Linked DNA regions of Yarrowia lipolytica. The protein of the gene in region 2 binds, or shares a complex with, the protein of the main gene of each other region. Links are inferred from orthologs where the notes say so. Each region holds a gene or a part of one and is shown on either strand. Other genes may lie near its edges.

The links.
Region 1: YALI1_C15021g (region 2) and YALI1_F12983g share a complex: the UniProt entries of both Saccharomyces cerevisiae proteins name them as parts of the U4/U6-U5 tri-snRNP complex. The link is inferred for Yarrowia lipolytica from reciprocal best matches to the Saccharomyces cerevisiae genes PRP8 and SNU23.
Region 3: YALI1_C15021g (region 2) and YALI1_D17410g share a complex: the UniProt entries of both Saccharomyces cerevisiae proteins name them as parts of the U4/U6-U5 tri-snRNP complex. The link is inferred for Yarrowia lipolytica from reciprocal best matches to the Saccharomyces cerevisiae genes PRP8 and SMB1.
Region 4: YALI1_C15021g (region 2) and YALI1_F21279g share a complex: the UniProt entries of both Saccharomyces cerevisiae proteins name them as parts of the U4/U6-U5 tri-snRNP complex. The link is inferred for Yarrowia lipolytica from reciprocal best matches to the Saccharomyces cerevisiae genes PRP8 and PRP18.

Annotation. Positions count from the first base shown.
Region 1 is NC_090775.1:1,296,411-1,299,708, reverse strand, and holds YALI1_F12983g (uncharacterized protein), read right to left. Parts: upstream 1,333-3,298; coding exon 877-1,332; downstream 1-876. Other genes in the region: YALI1_F12969g (uncharacterized protein), read right to left, coding at 1,717-2,727. UniProt on the Saccharomyces cerevisiae protein: Participates in pre-mRNA splicing. Part of the U4/U5/U6 tri-snRNP complex, one of the building blocks of the spliceosome.
Region 2 is NC_090772.1:1,495,646-1,504,145, reverse strand, and holds the start of YALI1_C15021g (uncharacterized protein), read left to right. Parts: upstream 1-2,015; coding exon 2,016-8,500. Other genes in the region: YALI1_C15048g (uncharacterized protein), read left to right, coding at 1-819. UniProt on the Saccharomyces cerevisiae protein: Functions as a scaffold that mediates the ordered assembly of spliceosomal proteins and snRNAs. Required for association of BRR2 with the spliceosomal U5 snRNP, and the subsequent assembly of the U4/U6-U5 tri-snRNP complex.
Region 3 is NC_090773.1:1,739,069-1,742,458, reverse strand, and holds YALI1_D17410g (uncharacterized protein), read right to left. Parts: upstream 1,417-3,390; coding exon 871-1,416; downstream 1-870. UniProt on the Saccharomyces cerevisiae protein: Plays a role in pre-mRNA splicing as a core component of the spliceosomal U1, U2, U4 and U5 small nuclear ribonucleoproteins (snRNPs), the building blocks of the spliceosome.
Region 4 is NC_090775.1:2,125,556-2,129,635, reverse strand, and holds YALI1_F21279g (uncharacterized protein), read right to left. Parts: upstream 1,731-4,080; coding exon 615-1,730; downstream 1-614. Other genes in the region: YALI1_F21261g (uncharacterized protein), read left to right, coding at 3,534-4,080. UniProt on the Saccharomyces cerevisiae protein: Component of the U4/U5/U6 snRNP, binding principally to the u5 snRNP. It is not absolutely required for the second step of pre-mRNA splicing at low temperatures but is required at higher temperatures.

The DNA.
Region 1 (3,298 bases), on a different chromosome or scaffold from region 2:
ACTAAGCAGTACCGTGAGTCCGTCGACGGGTGCGAGTTCAGTACAAGTCCTCGTATTTGTTGTCTTCTCTTCACCATTATCTGCTAGTACAAGTACATATTGTAGCTACAGTAAGCAGTTTATTTGGGACTACATGTTGGACCACATGCAATGTCCGATGATGTCATAATGGACATTTTTACCAGGGTGCTGTCTTATAATTATTGTACAAGTGTAAATCTCTTGTGTGCTGTCGTTTAAGTAGCAAGACTACTCTCGGTTGTACACACGTACAGTAGGCGAGTACTTGTAGAATGACCCATTATTGACGCCAACCGTTTCATAGCGCTATAGATCATGTCCATAGGCTGTAGACGTCGGAAGGTATGCGGGATAAGCCGTCTGATAACCACCGCGATCACCCTGTCGTACTCCCTGCTGCCAAGAAATCTTTCAGTATGAGTACAGTACGAGTGCGAGTAGTGTACGTCCTCAAGTGCAGTAGTTGCTGTCACCATGCTGGCAGAGGTGGTCATCTCTTTCACAGTTGAGATCAGCCTTTCAAGTGACTGGGGGACGTAGTGATATAGACAATTTTAGCTGGTCAACTTTCCATTCGTAGAGGACTGCTGCCGTAGCTTCACCTAGAGTGCTTCTGTTACAGCAGTGTCGTAAGTCCATTAAATGAGCACTTGGTCACTCAGATGTAGACTTGGTCACTCAGATGTAGATTTGGGATACTTCCGACTTGCCCTGGAAGACCGTTCGAGTATTAGACGTGTGTATCCTATGCGTTAAACGCTTGTGCAGTTCCGTGGCTTGTGTGTGGTGCTAATGTGCTGATGTGCTGTGTAGCACGAGCTATCCGTACAGTGAAATGTTCTGGCGCCCTTAAAATCACTTTTTTGTACTTCCAAACCCGCCAAAGCCCATGGCGGCCATCATTTCGTCGTCAGCTCCTTCTTCCACCTTTTCCTCTCGTTTCTGTCGCTTTCGATCCTTCTTCTTCTTCTTCTGTCGCTCAATCAACTGTTTTCTGGCACTGATCCGAGCGTTGATATCGTAGTCCAACTCCTTCTCCTGGGCGCGTTTTCGCTCCGTCAGCCACTTGAGCCGCTTCTGAACATCCTCCAGCGTCGATTGTCGGGGTCCGTCCGTCTCTCCAATCTCATACAAGTGCTGTTTACTGTTGAGATGGTCGATCCATTGAATGGAGTCTTTGTATGTGAGGTTGCACACTTCACAGTAGAAGCCAGCTCCTTTTCCTCGTCTTCCCACCGAGGCCGTGGCGGGAACCAGCTGGAGAGTGTTCAACCCTTCGTTGAAGTCGATCCGCTCAGTTCTTGCCGACATGCTTGAGGTGAAAGATGAGATGATGGGCTAAATAAAATATCCATGATATGCAGGTGGATGGGTGAACTTTATCGTAGAGTGGTCTGGATGTAAGTATTTAGTTAAAAAAAAAGGGGGTTTACTCGATTTATACTTAGGTGAAAAATATAAAACAAAGCAAACACTCATTGAATAACTACTGTAATGACAGAGAGGGGATATCAAAACAATCCAAACAACTGAAAACAGGAAGAAACCTACTGAAAGCACTACATATCAGTTATATATACAATTGAGAAACACCCATTGTCGTTTAGTCGCGTTACCTTCCCCCAGAAAGACTTGTACCATCCCAGGGTCCTGTCCTACACTACAATCTCAGTCAGTATCTCAATCTATATCTATTTACTGCTTAAGGTGAATGCCTCGGGCATGAAGAGCGTCCTTAACATTGTCGTAAACCACGTCAGGGTCCTGCTTGCAGTCGACAACCACGACTCGGTCCTGGGTCTCAAAGTAGTCGACGACAGGCATGGAAGTCTCGATGAAGGTCACGAACCGCTTTCGGATGGACTCGATGTTGTCATCGGTTCGGCCCGAGGTCTCGCCTCGCTTGAGCAGACGCTTGAGCATGACCTCCTCGGGACACTCGAAGAAGAGAGTGAACTTGGAGACGGCCACGTCCTCCTCGAACTTGAGGGCCTGGTCCATCTTTCGGGGGAAGCCATCAATGAGGAATCGGGTCTTGCCCTTGGCCACGCTCTCCTTCATGGCGTTCTTGAGCAGGCCAATGGTCACCTCCTGGGGCACAATGTCTCCCGCCTTGATGCAGTCGGCGATGAGCTTGCCGTACTGCGAGTTGGGTCGAGACTGCTCCTCTCGCAGCAGATCACCGGCAGACAGGTGCACAAAGCCGTACTCGTTGACCAGCTTCTCGCACTGGGTGCCCTTGCCGGCTCCGGGGCCTCCTAGCACAAAGATGACGGAGACCTCGTTGGGGCCAAACGCGGCCTTCTTGTACTTGGATTTGGTCTGCTGGACCATCTGGTTGTAGTCCTCCTCGGTGATCTCGGCCACCACGGGCTTCTTGTCGAGCTGCTTGGCCGCCCACATGAAGAAGGCGGTGGTGGCTCCAAAGGCAATCACCAGCTTGACAGGGGTCGGCATGGCGCCCTGGAGCAGCTCGTGGGACGCGTATTTTCGGGCCATGGGGCTGGGGCGGTTCATTCGGCCCATGGTCCGGGCCAGGTGCGAGATTCGGCTTCGGAACATGATGTTTGTGTGTGGTGGTGTCCGGGCTTGATTTGCTGTAGGAGTGAAATTTGACGGAGCTGCAGGGTGCGTGTAAACCGCCGCAGCTCTTAAGTACCGGCGGGCGACGGTCTCAGCACAGGCAGCAGAACAACGAGCAAACATGGCCGTGCGCGAAAACTGGGACTTTCCATTGGTGAACAGAGGGAAGTGGAAACAAAACGGGGGAGCACACGACTATATATATACACGCTGCCTTTCTCACAACGGCTTTTTTTTATGTTGACGTGGGAGGTCATAACCTTGACAATGGTGCGTTTGGTCAGGGGGAAGCAACATTAATAAAACTACGAGTACACTGTAGTTGTAACAGAGTCCTGGTGAAACCGATTTGTGGTCTTGTCGGACTTGTCACGTGATATACATTACTCATTACGTCAGCCCCACGGTCTCCCGGCACTACAAGTACTCCTCCTGTTCTTTGGTTCAATACCAAAAAAAAAAAAAAAAACACACACATTCCAAGCAACCGATAGAGTTGGAGCCCAAAGGATAGAGAGAGATAGACAGACGCAACCATGACCAGCCTTGGCGGTGGTGGAGATTTGTGGAAGGAACAAGTAAATGATAGAGACACAAATGGGGATGCAAATGTGTTGTTTCTTCCGTCCCATTGTCGCTCGCTCGTGTTGTTTTTCAGAAGCACCTCTTTTCCCACCCAGAGCGGCTCGTTTGT
Region 2 (8,500 bases):
GCTGCTACAAAGTATCTTCCTCAAGAGCCGAAACTGGACAACGACGTGGAGCTGCAGATGAACCCACTGTCCAAGCGTCTGGCTCTGGTGACTTATACTCCTGCAAGATGCAAGGAGTTTGGACGAAAGATGATCATTCCGTTTGTCACGCTGATCTCATATCCCATTGTTGCATTTTCTGCCATTCAGTACGGCTTCATGCTCACGTGGCTGTCCATGGCTGCTACCACTAGTGCCAATTCTTTCGCGCTGCCACCATACAATTTCTCCTCCGCAGCTATTGGCAACGTCAACATTGCCCCCTTCGTCGGCATGATCTTCGGATCTGTCTTTGGAGGCTGGTTCAACGACAAGACCATCATATGGCTGTCCAACAGAAACAAAGGCATATACGAGCCGGAGTTTCGACTCTACAGTCTCGTATTTGCCAACTTTTCGCTCACAGTGGGCGTTTTTCTGTTTGGCACATCTCTGGCCAACCGAGTGCATTGGATGGTCCCCACAATCGGCTTTGCCATCATTATGTTCGGATTCGGATCATCAGGAGCCATAGTCGTGACCTACCTGCTCGACTGCTACGACAAGATTGTTGCTGACGCCTTCATTGGCGTGATTGTGGTCAGAAACGGACTGGCCATGGTCATCATCTTCTGTTTGGGTCCATGGGAGGAAAGGATGGGTCTTCAGAACGTGTACATTATGGCCGGCTGTTTCTCGCTCGTTCCGTTGATTCTCACAGTTCCCATGATCATCTGGGGCAAGGAGTTGAGAAGAAAAAGTGGGCCTCGCTATCTCAAGGAGTCTCTTAGGGGTCAGTGATAGATTATTGCATATATTTAGAGCAGGCTGGCACGGGTACAAGTGCTGTACAAGTGAAGTATTGGCAGTTGTGTGACGATTTAGCAAGTCTCCAATGTCGTACAAGTTCTTGAAGTCGGCAATATCACTGGAGTACCAGTCCGTGTGTGTCTATATCCAACCGCTTTAGCAACCCCAAGAAAACTGCTGGTCATTGTGGAAATGTTTCATTTCTTCACCCTCGAAGGGACTCTGAAAGTCCCCCAAACAGTTTCAAAGACTCTTCTTCATCTCCACCTGTTTTAATCAAATAAATCTGAATATTTTCAACATTCCCAGTTTTTTATCTTTTATTCCAAGTTTTTTGTCTTTTATTCCCAGATTAAATCATCCCAATATCCGCTTAGCCTGCAGCAAATTCAAAACACCTTTTTTCCAAACTCAAAAATCATTTCCAATCTACACATTCACATCGCCTGATCAGCTCTAGAGGTTGATACAAGAGTGAGTACGAGCGCGCAAAAGTGGCGCAGATGGAAGTGGCACATTGTTTGGTGGCAGAAGAACCGCCCGGCCACCACACGGCGCCAATGGAGACACCTCAGCAATGACATCAACACCGACCTACATGATATGGACATGGGCTGGATGTGGATACCGAGAGTGCGACGGTGGTTGTGTCATGCGATATAACCAGCCGAGATGCGTGAACGTGCCACGTCATCGATGGGGATATTCGATACTGAGCTGTTTCTGGTTCAGATCATGTCATGTCACATACCATGAAGAGACTCTTGACGACATGGGCACCAGACCATCAGCGTATTTACTACGTGGTTGTGTTTGCCACTCATCAAATTGCCACGTCATTAGTTGTCACACCATCGGTTTGATTCGCTTATGGGGTCCGTTCAGACCTCCTACCCTTGCTTTCGTTTACTAACACAGTGCCACCTGGACTACCACCCCCTCCAGGTCTCAGACCACCAGGGGCGCCACCAGGCTTCCCCACGGGAGCACCACCTCCTCCCGGAGCTCCACCCCCTCCCGGAGCTCCACCTCCTCCGGGAGCTCCTCCAGGTGCACCTCCTCCACCTGCTGAGGACTCACGATCGTCTCTCTTACAAGCCCGAAAGAAGCGATGGCTCAAGCTGCAGAAGCGCAAGTTTGCCGACAAGTCCGGCAAGTCGACGTTTGTGCACTCGTCCAAGGCAGATATGCCTCCGGAGCACCTGCGAAAACTCATCAAGGACCATGGAGATATGAGCTCGCGCAAGTTTGCGTCCGACAAACGAGCTTACCTCGGAGCTCTCAAGTTCATGCCCCACGGTGTGATCAAGCTGCTGGAGAATATGCCCCAGCCCTGGGAGGCCGTTCGAGAGGTGAAGGTGCTGTACCACATTTCTGGTGCCATCACTTTCGTGAACGAGATCCCCCGAGTCGTGCCTCAGGTGTACACAGCCCAATGGGCAACCATGTGGGTGATGATGCGACGAGAAAAACGAGACCGACGACACTTCAAACGAATGCGATTCCCTCCTTTTGACGACGAAGAGCCTCCGATTTCTTGGGCAGAAAACATTCAGGATGTTGAGCCCCCAGAGGGCATTTTGATGGACCTGAGTCCCGTGGATGACTCAGCAGTGGTGGATTGGTTCTACGAGCACAGACCGCTGTTCGAGGACGGACTCAAGGTCAACGGGCCCTCCTACCGGTCGTACAGACTGAGTGTTGAGCAGCTGACCACTCTCTATCGACTTGCCACTCCTCTTCTTCCCGATGTTACCGACCCCAACTACTTTTACCTGTTTGACAAAAAAGCCTTTTACACCGCCAAGGCTCTGAATATGGCAATTCCGGGAGGTCCAAAGTTTGAGCCTCTCTACAAAGACCTGGATCCCGACAATGAGGACTTTGGTGAGTTCAATGCCATCGACAGAATCATTGTGCGAAACATGATCACCACAGAACACAAGGTGGCATTCCCCCATGTGTACAACTCCATGCCTCGAAAGGTGGAACTGGTGACGTACTCGTACCCTCAGGAAGTTGTTGTCAAATCTGAGGATCCTGATCTGCCTCCTTACTACTTTGATCCCAAGTTGGCTCCGATCACGAGGTCGAAGATCGATAATAATGTGGACGTTGATCTCTCCGAAGATCTTGGACCTCTCGCACCTCCCCTGGAGTCTGTTCCTCTTGTCAACGAGCAGCTTTCATCAGCTCTGGCTCTCTACCATGCTCCCAGTCCCTTCGATCGACGTTCCGGTCCTACTGTGCGTGCTCAGGACGTGGCTCTTATCAAGGATTGGTACCTGCAGCATCCTCCCAAGGGCTACCCCATCAAGGTGCGAGTTTCCTACCAGAAGCTACTGAAGTCGTACGTGTTGACGTCTCTGACCTCTCAGTCTACAGTCACTCAAAAGAAGCGTGGATTGCTGAAGTCGTTGAGAAACACAAAGTTTTTCCAGCAGACGGAAATTGACTGGGTGGAAGCTGGTTTACAGCTTTGTCGACAGGGTTTCAACATGCTTAACCTGTTGATTCACAGAAAGGGTCTCACATACCTGCATTTGGACTACAACTTCAATTTGAAGCCTACAAAGACACTTACTACCAAGGAGCGAAAGAAGTCTCGGTTTGGAAATGCCTTCCACCTCATGCGTGAGATTCTGCGAGTGGTTAAAATCCTTGTGGACGCTCAGGTTCAATTCCGACTCGGTAATGTCGACGCCTTCCAGCTGGCCGATGGTATTTACTACACCCTGAACCACCTGGGCCAGCTCACCGGTATTTATCGATACAAGTACAAGGTGATGCACCAGATTCGAACTTGTAAGGATCTGAAGCACGTGGTTTACTACAGGTTCAACGTCGTTATCGGTAAGGGTCCTGGCTGTGGTTTCTGGCAGCCTGCCTGGCGGGTGTGGCTATTTTTCCTCCGTGGAATCATCCCCCTTCTTGAGCGGTGGCTGGGAAACCTTCTGGCGCGTCAGTTTGAGGGTCGTCACTCCAAGGGCGTTGCCAAGACTATCACCAAGCAGCGAGTCGAATCTTCCTACGATCTCGAGCTTCGAGCGTCGGTTCTCAAGGATATTCTGGACATGATTCCTGAGGGTATCAAGGAGGCCAAGACCAAGACTGTTCTGCAGCATCTATCTGAGGCCTGGCGGTGCTGGAAGGCCAACGTGCCGTGGAAGGTGCCTGGTATGCCTGCCCCCATCGAGAACATTATCTTACGTTACGTCAAAGCCAAGGCTGAGGGCTGGATGGCTGCTGCTCACTACAACCGAGAGCGAATCAACCGAGGCGCCACTGTGGACAAGACGCTTGCCAAGAAGAATCTCGGCCGTCTGACTCGTCTGTGGCTCAAGTCCGAGCAGGAGAGACAACAAAACTTCCTGCGAGACGGCCCATACTGGGACGGTAATGACGCACGGGCCATCCAGCAGATGATGGTGAACTGGCTAGAGTCACGAAACTTTTCCACCATCTCCATGCCTCCTGCCAGTTACAAGCACGACACCAAGCTGCTGGTGTTGGCGCTGGAGGGTATGAAGGAGGGCTTCAACTCCAAGGGACGTCTCAACCAGAGCCAGCGAGACGAAATGGCGTACATAGAACAGGCCTATGACAATCCTCATGAGACTCTGCGACAGGTGAAGGAGAACTTTGTGCGTAACGAGGGTTTCAAGGACGTGGGATTGGAGATGATGGATCACTACTCTCACGTGACTCCCGTGTACGACATTGACCCCACCGAGAAGATTGCTGACGCATATCTGGACCAGTATCTGTGGTATGAGGGTGACAAGAATGGCCTCTTCCCCAACTGGATCAAGCCTAGTGATTCGGAAGTGCCTCCCTTGCTCGTGTACAAGTGGTGCCAGGGCATCAACAATCTGGACAACATTTGGAAGACTGACGCTGGAGAATCGACTGTCATGCTGGAGACTTCTCTGAGCAAGATCTGGGAGAAGATTGACTTTACTTTTTTGCAGTATCTGCTCCGGTTGATCATGGACGAGAACTTGGCCAAGTACATCATTGCCAAGAACAACGTCCGGCTCACTTACAAAGACATGTCTCACACCAACAACTATGGTCTTTTGCGAGGTCTGCAGTTCTCGTCGTTTGTGGTTCAGTACTATGGTCTCGTTGCTGACTTGCTCATCCTGGGTCTCACTCGAGCGTCTCAGATGGCTGGTGATCCCAAACGGCCCAACTACTTCATGCAATACCCCTCCGTCGCTGTGGAGACGGACCATCCTATCAGAGCGTACTCTCGGTACATTGACCGAATCCACATCCTCTTCCGGTTTACTAAGGACGAGTCTTCGGATTTGGTTCATCGGTTCTTGACTGAGCACCCGGACCCCAACTTTGAAAACGTGGTTAACTTCCCTACTAAGAAGTGCTGGCCGCGTGACTCTCGAATGCGGCTCATGCGGTCCGACGTGAATCTTGCACGCGCCGCGTTTTGGGAAATTCAGAACCGACTCCCTCGAGCCATGACGTCCATTGAGTGGTCTGAGTCGTTTGTCTCTGTCTACTCCAGCGAAAACCCCAATCTGCTGTTTTCCATGTGCGGTTTTGAGGTTCGAATCCTGCCCAAGTGTCGAACTGTGGCGTCTGTGCCCGTCAAGGACTCTGTCTGGAACCTCACCAACGAGTCTACCAAGGAGCGAACTGCGTATGCTTTCTTGCGCGTCTCTGATGCCGATATTGCGCGGTTCAACAACAGAATTCGACAGATTCTCATGTCGTCTGGTTCCACCACCTTCACGAAGATTGCCAACAAGTGGAACACTGCTCTGATTTCGCTGTTCACGTATTATCGAGAGGCGGCTGTCGCCACTGAGCAGCTTCTGGACACCCTGGTCAAATGCGAGACCAAGATTCAAACTCGTGTCAAGATTGGCCTCAACTCCAAAATGCCAACTCGTTTCCCCCCTGCCGTGTTCTACACCCCCAAGGAGCTTGGTGGTCTGGGTATGTTTTCTGCTTCTCACATTCTGATCCCTGCCAGTGATCTGCGGTGGTCCAAGCAGTCTGATCAGGGCGGCATTACCCACTTCCGAGCTGGTATGACTCATGTTCACGGCGAAGACAAGATCATTCCAAATATTTTCCGGTACTTGACGACCTGGGAGGCAGAGTTCACCGACTCGCAGCGTGTGTGGGCCGAGTATGCGTCCAAACGAGCCGAGGCCAAGGCCGAGAACCGGCGTCTGTCTCTGGAGGATCTAGAGGACTCGTGGGACCGAGGTCTGCCTCGAATCAACACATTGTTCCAGAAGGACAGACATACGCTGGCCTACGATAAGGGTCACCGTGTGCGAACGGAGTTCCGACAGTTCTCCATCCCTAGAGTCAACCCCTTTTGGTGGACGTCTCAGCGTCATGACGGTAAGCTGTGGTCGCTGAATACATACAGAACAGACGTCATCCAGGCACTGGGTGGCATTGAGACGATTCTGGAACACACTCTGTTCAAGGGTACCGGTTTCGACAACTGGGAAGGTCTCTTCTGGGAGAAGGCCGCTGGCTTCGAGGACCAACTCAAGCTCAAGAAGCTGACCAACGCCCAGCGGTCTGGTCTCAACCAGATTCCCAATCGACGCTTCACTCTCTGGTGGTCTCCTACCATCAACCGAGCCAATGTCTACGTTGGTTTCCTGGTACAGCTGGATCTCACGGGTATCTTTTTGCATGGTAAAATCCCCACGCTCAAGATTTCGCTGATTCAGATTTTCCGGGCCCATTTGTGGCAGAAAATCCACGAGTCGGTGGTGCTTGATATCTGTCAGGTGCTTGATCGAGAGCTGGAGACGCTGCAGATTAGTGAGACTCGAAAGGAACAAATTCATCCTCGAAAGTCGTACAAGATGAACTCTTCGTGTGCTGATATTGTGCTCAAGTCGGCCTACAAGTGGAACGTTTGCAAGCCTTCATTGTTGAACGATTCGTCCGACTCCATGGATTTCGCTCAAACGTCCGAGTTCTGGCTGGACGTGCAGCTTCGATACGGAGACTACGACTCGCACGATATCAGTCGGTACACTCGAGCCAAGTTTCTGGAGTACACCACCGACGGAGTGTCTGTCTACCCCTCGCCTGTTGGAGCCATGGTTGGCATTGATCTTGCGTACAACATGTACGACGCCTATGGCAACTGGTTCCCCGGTCTGAAACAGCTCATGCGTCCTGCCATGTCCAAAATCATGCAGGCCAACCCTGCATTGTTTGTGCTGCGAGAACGAATCCGAAAGGGCCTGCAGCTGTATCAGTCGCAGCCGCAGGAAGCGTTCCTCAACTCGCAAAACTACCAGGAGTTATTCAACAACGAGGTGCAGTTCTTCGTGGACGATTCGAACGTCTACCGAGCCGCTGCTCATACCACTTTTGAGGGCAACTTTACCAACAAGCCTCTTAACGGTGCTGTGTTCATTTTGAACCCCAAGACCGGTCAGCTGTTCCTCAAGGTGGTTCACACGTCCACTTGGGCCGGTCAGAAGCGTCTGTCTCAGCTGGCCAAATGGAAGGCGGCCGAAGAGGTGGCTGCTCTGATCCGATCTCTTCCAAAGGAAGAGCAGCCCAAACAGGTGATTGTCACTCGAAAGAGTATTGTTGAGCCGCTGAAGCAGCAGCTGTTTGAGTTCCCCAACACGGTCATCCGGCCGTCGGAGCTCCAGCTGCCGTTCAAGTCTGCTCTGCAGGTGGAGAAGCTCGGAGATCTGATTCTCAAAGCAACTGAGTCGCAGATGGTTATTTTCAATCTCTTTGACGATTGGCTCAAGTCAATTTCCAGTTACACTGCCTTTGCTCGTCTGGTTCTCATTTTGCGAGGTATGCATGTCAACCATGAGAAGACAAAGATCATTCTGCGTCCCGATCACACGGTTGTGACTCTTGACCATCACATGTGGCCTTCCTTCTCAGAAGATCAGTGGGTGCACGTGGAGAATCAGCTGCGAGACATGATTCTCAACGACTACGGCAAGAAGAACAATGTGAACATCCAGTCGCTGACTCAGCACGAGATTCGAGATATTATTCTGGGCCAGGAGATCAAAGCACCTTCTCAAAAGCGTCAGGAGCTGCAGGACATTGAGGAGAACAAGACAGACTCTCAGGTGACTGCACTAAAGACCAAGTCTCAAAACGTGCATGGAGACGAAATGGTGGTGGTAACCACGTCCAACTACGAGCAGCAGGTGTTTCAGAGCAAGACTGAGTGGCGGTCTCGAGCTCTCAGTACCGCCAACCTACATCTTCGAGCTGAGAAAGTGTTTGTGGAGTACTCTGAGTCCGACGACCAGGGTTACACTTATGTGTTCCCCAAGAACGTGTTGCAGAAGTTCATTCAGATCGCCGATGTTCGAACCCAGGTAGGAGCCCTGCTGTACGGAACTTCTCCTTCAGACAATGACCAGGTCAAAGAGATTCATGCCATTGTTCTGGTTCCTCAGCTGGGTTCGTACAGAGGTGTGGAGATGCCTCTCAAGCCTCCAGTTACTCCTCTTTTAGAGGGCCTGGAGCCTCTGGGATGGATCCACACTCAGGCTTTAGAGTCTCCTCAAATGTCGCCTGTGGACGTCACCACAACCGCCAAGCTGTCCAAGGAGTACGGATGGCCCGTGGGCAGTCTCTGTATGGTTGTTTCGTTTGCTCCTGGATCGGTCAGCATCTCTCCTTATGC
Region 3 (3,390 bases), on a different chromosome or scaffold from region 2:
TGTGATCTCTGCTTTCTAAATTGTGCTTATGTAATCACAAAAACACGATTGATATGATTAATTGATTTAATAGTTTTGATTTACTACCACGTGACCGCGAAAAAGGAAACGACCAAAAGCAATCTCGAACTCATTGACTCGCTCTCCGTGACGCGCATCTCAACGATTATTATGACTAATTTAATGAACGCCAATAAGCCGGCTTACTAAGCATATAGCTTTAATGAATCATTAGAATTAAAACAAAAAAAAAAAAAAAAAACATTATAAAAAACGAAAACGGAAACGGAAACAAACTGAAGATTTTAGAGGAATGTAAGCACTGCTTTGAGTAGTTCCATGTCACAACAGATATTATTAATATACTAGCATTTCTGACAATCACTGTTATCGTCCCATCAGATTTGCAAAAGAATGTATAACCGAGCTATATGACTGACTTCAGAGTTCATCGTAAGGAAGTCTAGAGTCGTACTTGCTCGTTTGTAGCTGTCATTTCCATCTTTATCTTGCGCACAATGGGTATCACAGGCTCAGAGGAATAGTAAGAGCTCACGTCGGTGGTGGAGTAGTCCTGTCACTTGTACAGTGCTCCACCGTTTCGTATCAGAAGATAGTCCAATATACACGTCCATTCCCTATTATGCTAATTATATTATATACCTTTTTCCAGCCATGAGTGAGTGCGCCATTGTCCCCCATCTCATCTTTGCTCCCGGTTCTTTCTATGCCGTATCTCCAAAACTAAACACTCTGTTCGGGGCTGTTCTTGAGTGCTCTTGAGGCTGTGTAATCCTGTGTTTCGGACGTTAGTCACCGAACATGACAGTCCGCGTGGTTTCACAGTTCTGCCCAGACGTGTGTATGCGTCTACGCCCGTCCAAATCCAGGAGGAGCCTGGAACCCGGGAGGAGCTCTTCCTCCAGGCGCACTTCGCACGGGACCTCCCAATCCCGGTCCTCCAGCTCCTCTGGGACCTGTGGGGATGGCCCGGTTGATGCCCTTGGCAGACCCGGATCCGGGTGTCAGAGCGGTGTTGCCCAGTCGAGCTGTAGGATCTGTGGGAGGAGGAGCCTCGACAGACACAGAAACCACAGTCTCGCCTCGTAGAATGACCAACCCCAAAGTCCGTTTCTCCTCAGTGATGGACACGGAAGAAGCGTCGCCATTCTCGATCTGGATAGTCTTTTTTGCCTCCAGCAGCGACTTTTTCGTTGCCCGGAACTCCTCGCAGTCACTTAGAACAAGATTCATGTACCGGTCGAACGCCAGCATCTGTCCCACCATCTGCTTGCCATCCACAGTCGTCACCCGGAGCCTGTAGTTGACCAGATCGGCCATTTTTGTCTTGTTTGGTACCTGTGTTAGCAAAACGCTGGAGCTGCTCGTCCCATCGAGCGTTTTGAGATTAATCATGTAACACTTTTGGTCACGTGATGTAGATCTTCAAGTGATGTCGGTTGCCACATGATGGCTCTTTCCAATCATACTCACAATCATCTTGTGTGACGGTGTGTGTGTGTGTGTGTGTGTGTGTGTGTACAGTAGTGCAATGTCTCGTTGGTGATGCACAACTGGAGGATCAACTTTGTGTGCAGATTGTCATGCAGTAGGGTAACTGGGTATGGCGGCCGAAGTGGACAAAAAAGCGGTTGATTTTTGTGCATTAAAAAAAATGGGAATTTCGAGTTGTTTCTTGGTCCTCTTTTTTTTTTCCTTTTTTTTCCTTTTTTTATTTTTTTCTTTTGTTAATTTATTTATTTCTCCATTTCTTATTTGGTTGCTGCTGTTGAAGAAGAGGTTGGAGAGGTATACCTTTGCCTTAGTCGAACGTCCAGAGATGGAATTATTGTTGGACAATAGGGAGACCTGAAAATGTAGAAATGATGGGCTTGAGTGGGGTTTCTATTGGTGTAATTTTCATGTCTAGCGAATAGCTCGTTTGTCATCAAATCAGAGACTATGTATTGTCCCTAGTAATCGAGGTGTGATTACATAATATCAAAATAATCAGCTTGAGTAGACTACCCATTAGTGTAGTCTTAGTCAGCAAATCGGAGATTGTTTGAAAGATTATTAATGATAATCAAAAATATATGTTTTAATAAAAAATGATGATATAATGAAGAGAGACTCGCACCTTCGTTGGACTACGACTAACCTACAAGTAGCTACAAGTACTTTCCTTTCAGTATATCCCTGGTATCTCTTTGTCAAGTATCAAAATAATCCCCTCGAATCGCTTTATCCATCTCTATCCAACTGATGTTACTTGTTAGTCATCAAGCGGTGATATCACGTCAGTCATCAACGGCAACATGTTGTAGTCATTATTAATTGATTAAATATACAGTGAGCAAAGTGTTCTCTAGGCTGGTTTGTGGTTGACCATGTCGTATCTTTGACATTCAGTCACTTGTCGGACACAATTAGTTGGCCTCCTTGGTCAGCTGGTCGCCGTTGACAATCACCTTCTCCTGGGCGATCTTCTTGAGGTCTCGCTTTCCAAGGTGCTCGATGTTCTTGAGCTTGTCGCCGTTGACGATGGCGTTGACCGGGGCAGGGGCAGGGGCAGGAGCAGCAAGAGCCAGGGTGGAGAGAGCAGCAATGAGAGTGGTGGAGAGTCGCATGGTGGATGTGGCAGAAACGAACGTTGGTTGGAACTAACAAAGACGAAAGACGAAAGACGGAGACGCCTCCCCGCTTATATATATATACCGCGTCAGAGCCAGGGTTAGAGTTGAATATGAACGCTTGGCTCCTGCACGTCATCCCTTGGAGTATGTAGATGCAGGGGGAAGGCGGCGGGATCGAGGAGAGGGCCAAACGCGGGACTGGGGCTATCACGTGACGAAAGGAAGCAACGACACTGTTGCTTGTAGTTGTTAATGACGTGATCAACGACTTTTTCCCTGCTTGCCACTGCGAATAAGCGCCTCTCTGGCCCACATCCCTTGTGTTTACAATCTATTGTTAGCATTCTTCCTTTCAACTTTATCACAGAGTTGGGGCGGGAGCTAGACTCCGTTGCTGGGGGTGAAAAGACGTGTTTTTCGTGTCGCACGGACCGCGACTCGGTTTTCGCCCCGTCCAGATTGCTTAGATGCCAGCCTTTGTTTCTATATCATCCGCTAAACCCCATAGATAGCCGCAGCAAGCAGTATCTCAGCTCTTGGCACCTACGATAATGCACGTCATACTTGTAAACAATGAGCGCATAGTCCGAACACACACAGGGATAAGGTGTCAGCCAATTGAAAGTGGTAGGAGGTCCGGCGAGCCCGCGAGTGCGAGGCGGTACGACGGACAGCGAGGCGGTAGCGTGCGACGGGCGGTAGCGTGCGACGGAAGGTATGAGGCGCGTACGATACGACTGCGAGACGGTACGAG
Region 4 (4,080 bases), on a different chromosome or scaffold from region 2:
TTGCTTCGATACTGGTCTTGTCTAGAATCATCTCTGTGATTCATTGTCCGTTCCCGTTCAGGAAATTTTTGACCTTCCATGCATGGATTCTATTGACATGTCCAATTGGGGAAAACAGATATGGCATCTTCAAGAGATCTGAAAGGAGGGGGATTAAAAAAAGAAAAAGAATGAAATCTTTTAGATCAATCTAGCTTGTGCTCTTAACCAAGCTCCTCATTTGGTTTTGTATGCCTTTTTGTCATGTCTGTCAGAACACATCCTTGCAACGAGTTGACATTGTCAACCCGAATATGGTGTAATCAGACGGACAGTAAGTCAAAAAGAAGAGCTGACACAATCCGAAAATGTATTGTGTGCCCCGGCAGTTCTACTTGTATGAGTCTTGCTACCCTCTTGTCTACAGATCTGGTTTACTGCAATCCCACGGCTTGTAGCTCTACATTGCAAGACAGAACAATACAATGCTACCCGGCGAGACTCTGACTAACCATTTCACAAAACAGACAACAAAATGCAAAAAATACAATGATTAATAATTTAATGGGTGGAAGCAGCTTCTCTCTAGCAATCAACACACGACCCATGATGCAGAGCACAGGACAGGAGGTTACTTACTCAGAGGCTTCCTTCTGTTCAACCTCAGCATTCTGGTCAGTCTCGGAATTGCCATCAACCCCAGCCTCCTCCAGGACTGTCCCCTTGACATCCCTTCCTCGCGGTTCGTTGACTCGGTTCCCCCGATCCTCCATATCCACAACAGTCAACAAAGCCTTTCTCACACAACTCTCGTAGCCCTCAGCAAAGGTCAATAGCCGTTTAATGCACACAAGCCACTGCCTCGTATCATCATTGACAATGTGTGCCACCTGCTTCGAGTTTCGGGCTGAAGCAATAGTCTTGTTCTGAGACGCTCTAGCGTGAATGCCAATGGAAGCCACTCCAACGGGCCAACAGGCGTTTCCAATGCACAATTTAAGATAGACATCATAGGCCTGGTGGTGTTCCTCATGTTGCACATGGTACATGACCTTTGAAAGCATAGCCAGAACTTCGTCTTGGAGACCATTGTGTCGTAATAAGACCATGAGAGAAGATAGAGAGGTCTGCGTTTCTTCGAAGATAGTGTGTCGCTTGTAAGCGTTTGCTGCCTCGGAGACCTCTTCGGCCGCTCCACTGGCCTGGGCTGCAGCTCCCTTATCCAAAGTACCCTCCCATTCACTCAATAACCGTGCCAGAAACACTCTCAGCTGCATGGCGAGCTTTTTCTTGGTCTCCGAATCCCTTGTGGCATCCTTCTTTGTGGCTACGTCACTCCAGTCGATTCGCACGTTTGTTCTCGCGTCATTGGCAGCCATTTCTTCCACTGTCTCTATTGGTTCCGATGTTGCCACATCATGCTCTGTCGATACGGTAGATGTTGTGGAAGCTGGTGCTTTGGCCAAAGATTCCTGCTTGGCTCTCTTGGCCTCTTCTCGCTCAAGTCGCTCTTCTTCCCGGTCAAGTTCTCTCTGTCGCTTCATCTGCTTCAGCCGTTCCAGGCGCTTGAGGTCGTCTGAGTTGTCGGAAACTGTCGTCTGGGCGGGCTTGGGAGCCGCTGCCTTACAGCCGTAGTCTGCCACTCCCGTTCCAGCTTTCTTCTTGGAGATTTCGCCCTGAATCAGTGCTGCAAAATCCATTTTTGTGTGTTGTGAATGAAGTAGCGTTTTTTTGCGATGCTGCACATACATCTATGCAGCTGCAGAACACATTTTGTGCCAACCTTAAAAACAGCGTTCTTCTTTTTTTCCTCTGCCAACTTTATCGAGGCACGACCATGACCAGATATGGAGAGGTAGGCGACACCACCAAGTCGCCTTGAAAATGAGAAATCGAGGCAGTTGCTTAGTCAGAAAACCTTTTTCCGATACAAACATGCAATTTTCACACTCTTGGAAGACTCCATACTATCCTTGTAACGCTCTTGCCCACGTCTCGTTGCTTTAGTCCGAACTTCTCCTCACACTCAACCAATGGGATTTTTTCAGTTCATATTAAGTAACTTTCAACAAGGACAATAGAACTAGTTAGTTTTAAGCGCAAGTAACTCTGACCTTCACTCGAAATATGCCGTCCAGAAACAACATCTTGTAGCTCTGAATCTCTTCTCGAGGCCACTACCTAAGATACATCGATGAACTCGACCTTGTGTACATGTATTCTTACATACGTCTCTTCTACACTCACTGACAGACCGCTCATATTCCCCTCAACTCTTCCTCGGAAAGTTACTTTGATTGCAGTTCGGTCTAACGGCGGTGAACTCTGCTGCGCAGGTATAGGTGAGCTGTGTGTCTCAGGGTGCCTGAACCCGAGACTTCTGGGTTAGATCAAAGGCAAAAAGGTGAGCTGACCTCTATTGCTAGCGGATCAACAGTTATGAGAACGCCCAATGTGATTGCCGACCCTCGGCTGATTGTATTGATCGACAAAGCAGCACATGCGGGAAGAAACGGAACCATGAAGGTGGAGATCCGGTGCAGATGTGCGCGCGAGAGATACGGAGAGGGTTATGGGGTCAAATTCAATTGAATTGCACATTTGTGATCATTCTGCTGCCCAATTGCGTGTGTACTATTGCTAATATTCCAGAATACAGTACATACTCGTGCGTACAGTGGGAACTTGGACAATCCACCCCAAACATCATAATATGTCTCAATTTCAACATATTTCGTCGATATCATTGATTGCGAGTGGCACAGAGACATGCGCAGAGTCATGCTTAGCATACATATCCCTTTCTTATACCAAAAATCCCCCTTCAAAGGGTCTAAAATTGACACCAACTTTTGCGATCACGTGACTAATCTGTCTTCTCAAAACAGTCTAACGGTTTTTGGTCCTAACGGTTGCGGCCATATCCTGGTGAAAATACGGCTTCCCGTCCGATCAGCCATAGTCAAGCACCAGAGAGCCTAGTTAGTATTGTAGTGGGAGACCATACGAGAATCCTGGGTGCTGCAATCTCTGTTTTTTGCAGCTTACTAAGGTGGCGACAATGTAAGTTTTTTTGCTTAGTAATAATGCTTTGCATTAATGCTTAGTAACAATGGGGTATTGGAGCCTTCCGAAGTCCTTCCTCAACCTTCGTTACTGGCCAAGCTGATTAATATCCTCTTTAATACTCGTATTATAGCACACAAAGAGGACCCAAACTGGTGTCAAGATGGGGCTTTTGTTTGAATCGACTTGAACAGAACTCGAACTTGGAGCATCTCATACTTCAACTAACTTTCCAACTGTTATTCCTCTCGTTTGACAGCTCTATAGTTGACCATCGAGAGCAACCCAAACTGTCACCACGACCACACAATTGGGGCATGCAATGACCATTAAAACTGAAAAAAGGTAGTCTAGCAAATATATACCAGTAATTCGAGAAGAATATCTCGGAAAAACTATACCCGCAACTCTTCAATCACCCATCATTAGGTACATGTCCATACATTACCTACGGTACCATATTTAAACTTCACCAAGAAAGTTCATATATGCAGAACCTCAGCACTTTGGCGGTTTCGCTGATCGAGATAGATACATTTCCATCATCGTTTCCTCACGACATTCGCACAGACAAGATGAACGTGAAATCTGAGGTCAAGCCCGAAGAGGAAGATGTTAAGATTCCTCCTCCTCCTGTTGATGCCGACGATGGATCTTTCGACCTGGATACTGCGGGACTCGAAAACCGGGTATGGTTGGTGCGACTGCCCAAGTTTTTGGTGGACAAGTGGAGCCATCTGGATGAACACACTAACAAGCGACTCGGCCAGGTGCTGATCAAGGAAAACACAGCTCCCGGCGAGAAACAAAAGGTGTCTTTGCGCCTAAGTGATACGCCCGAAAACAGTGAGATTCCACATGAGTATGAGTTGGATATCGTCAAGGAGGTGGTCAACAACACGTTTGTGTTCACGGAGAAGGAGCAGAAGAAGGAAAAGGAAAAAGAAAAGGAGGAGGCCGGCAGTAGTGGAGCCGGCTCGTCGTCGTCGGCAGCGTCATCGTCAGCAGGAAAGGTCTCAAAGCCATCAGCATTTC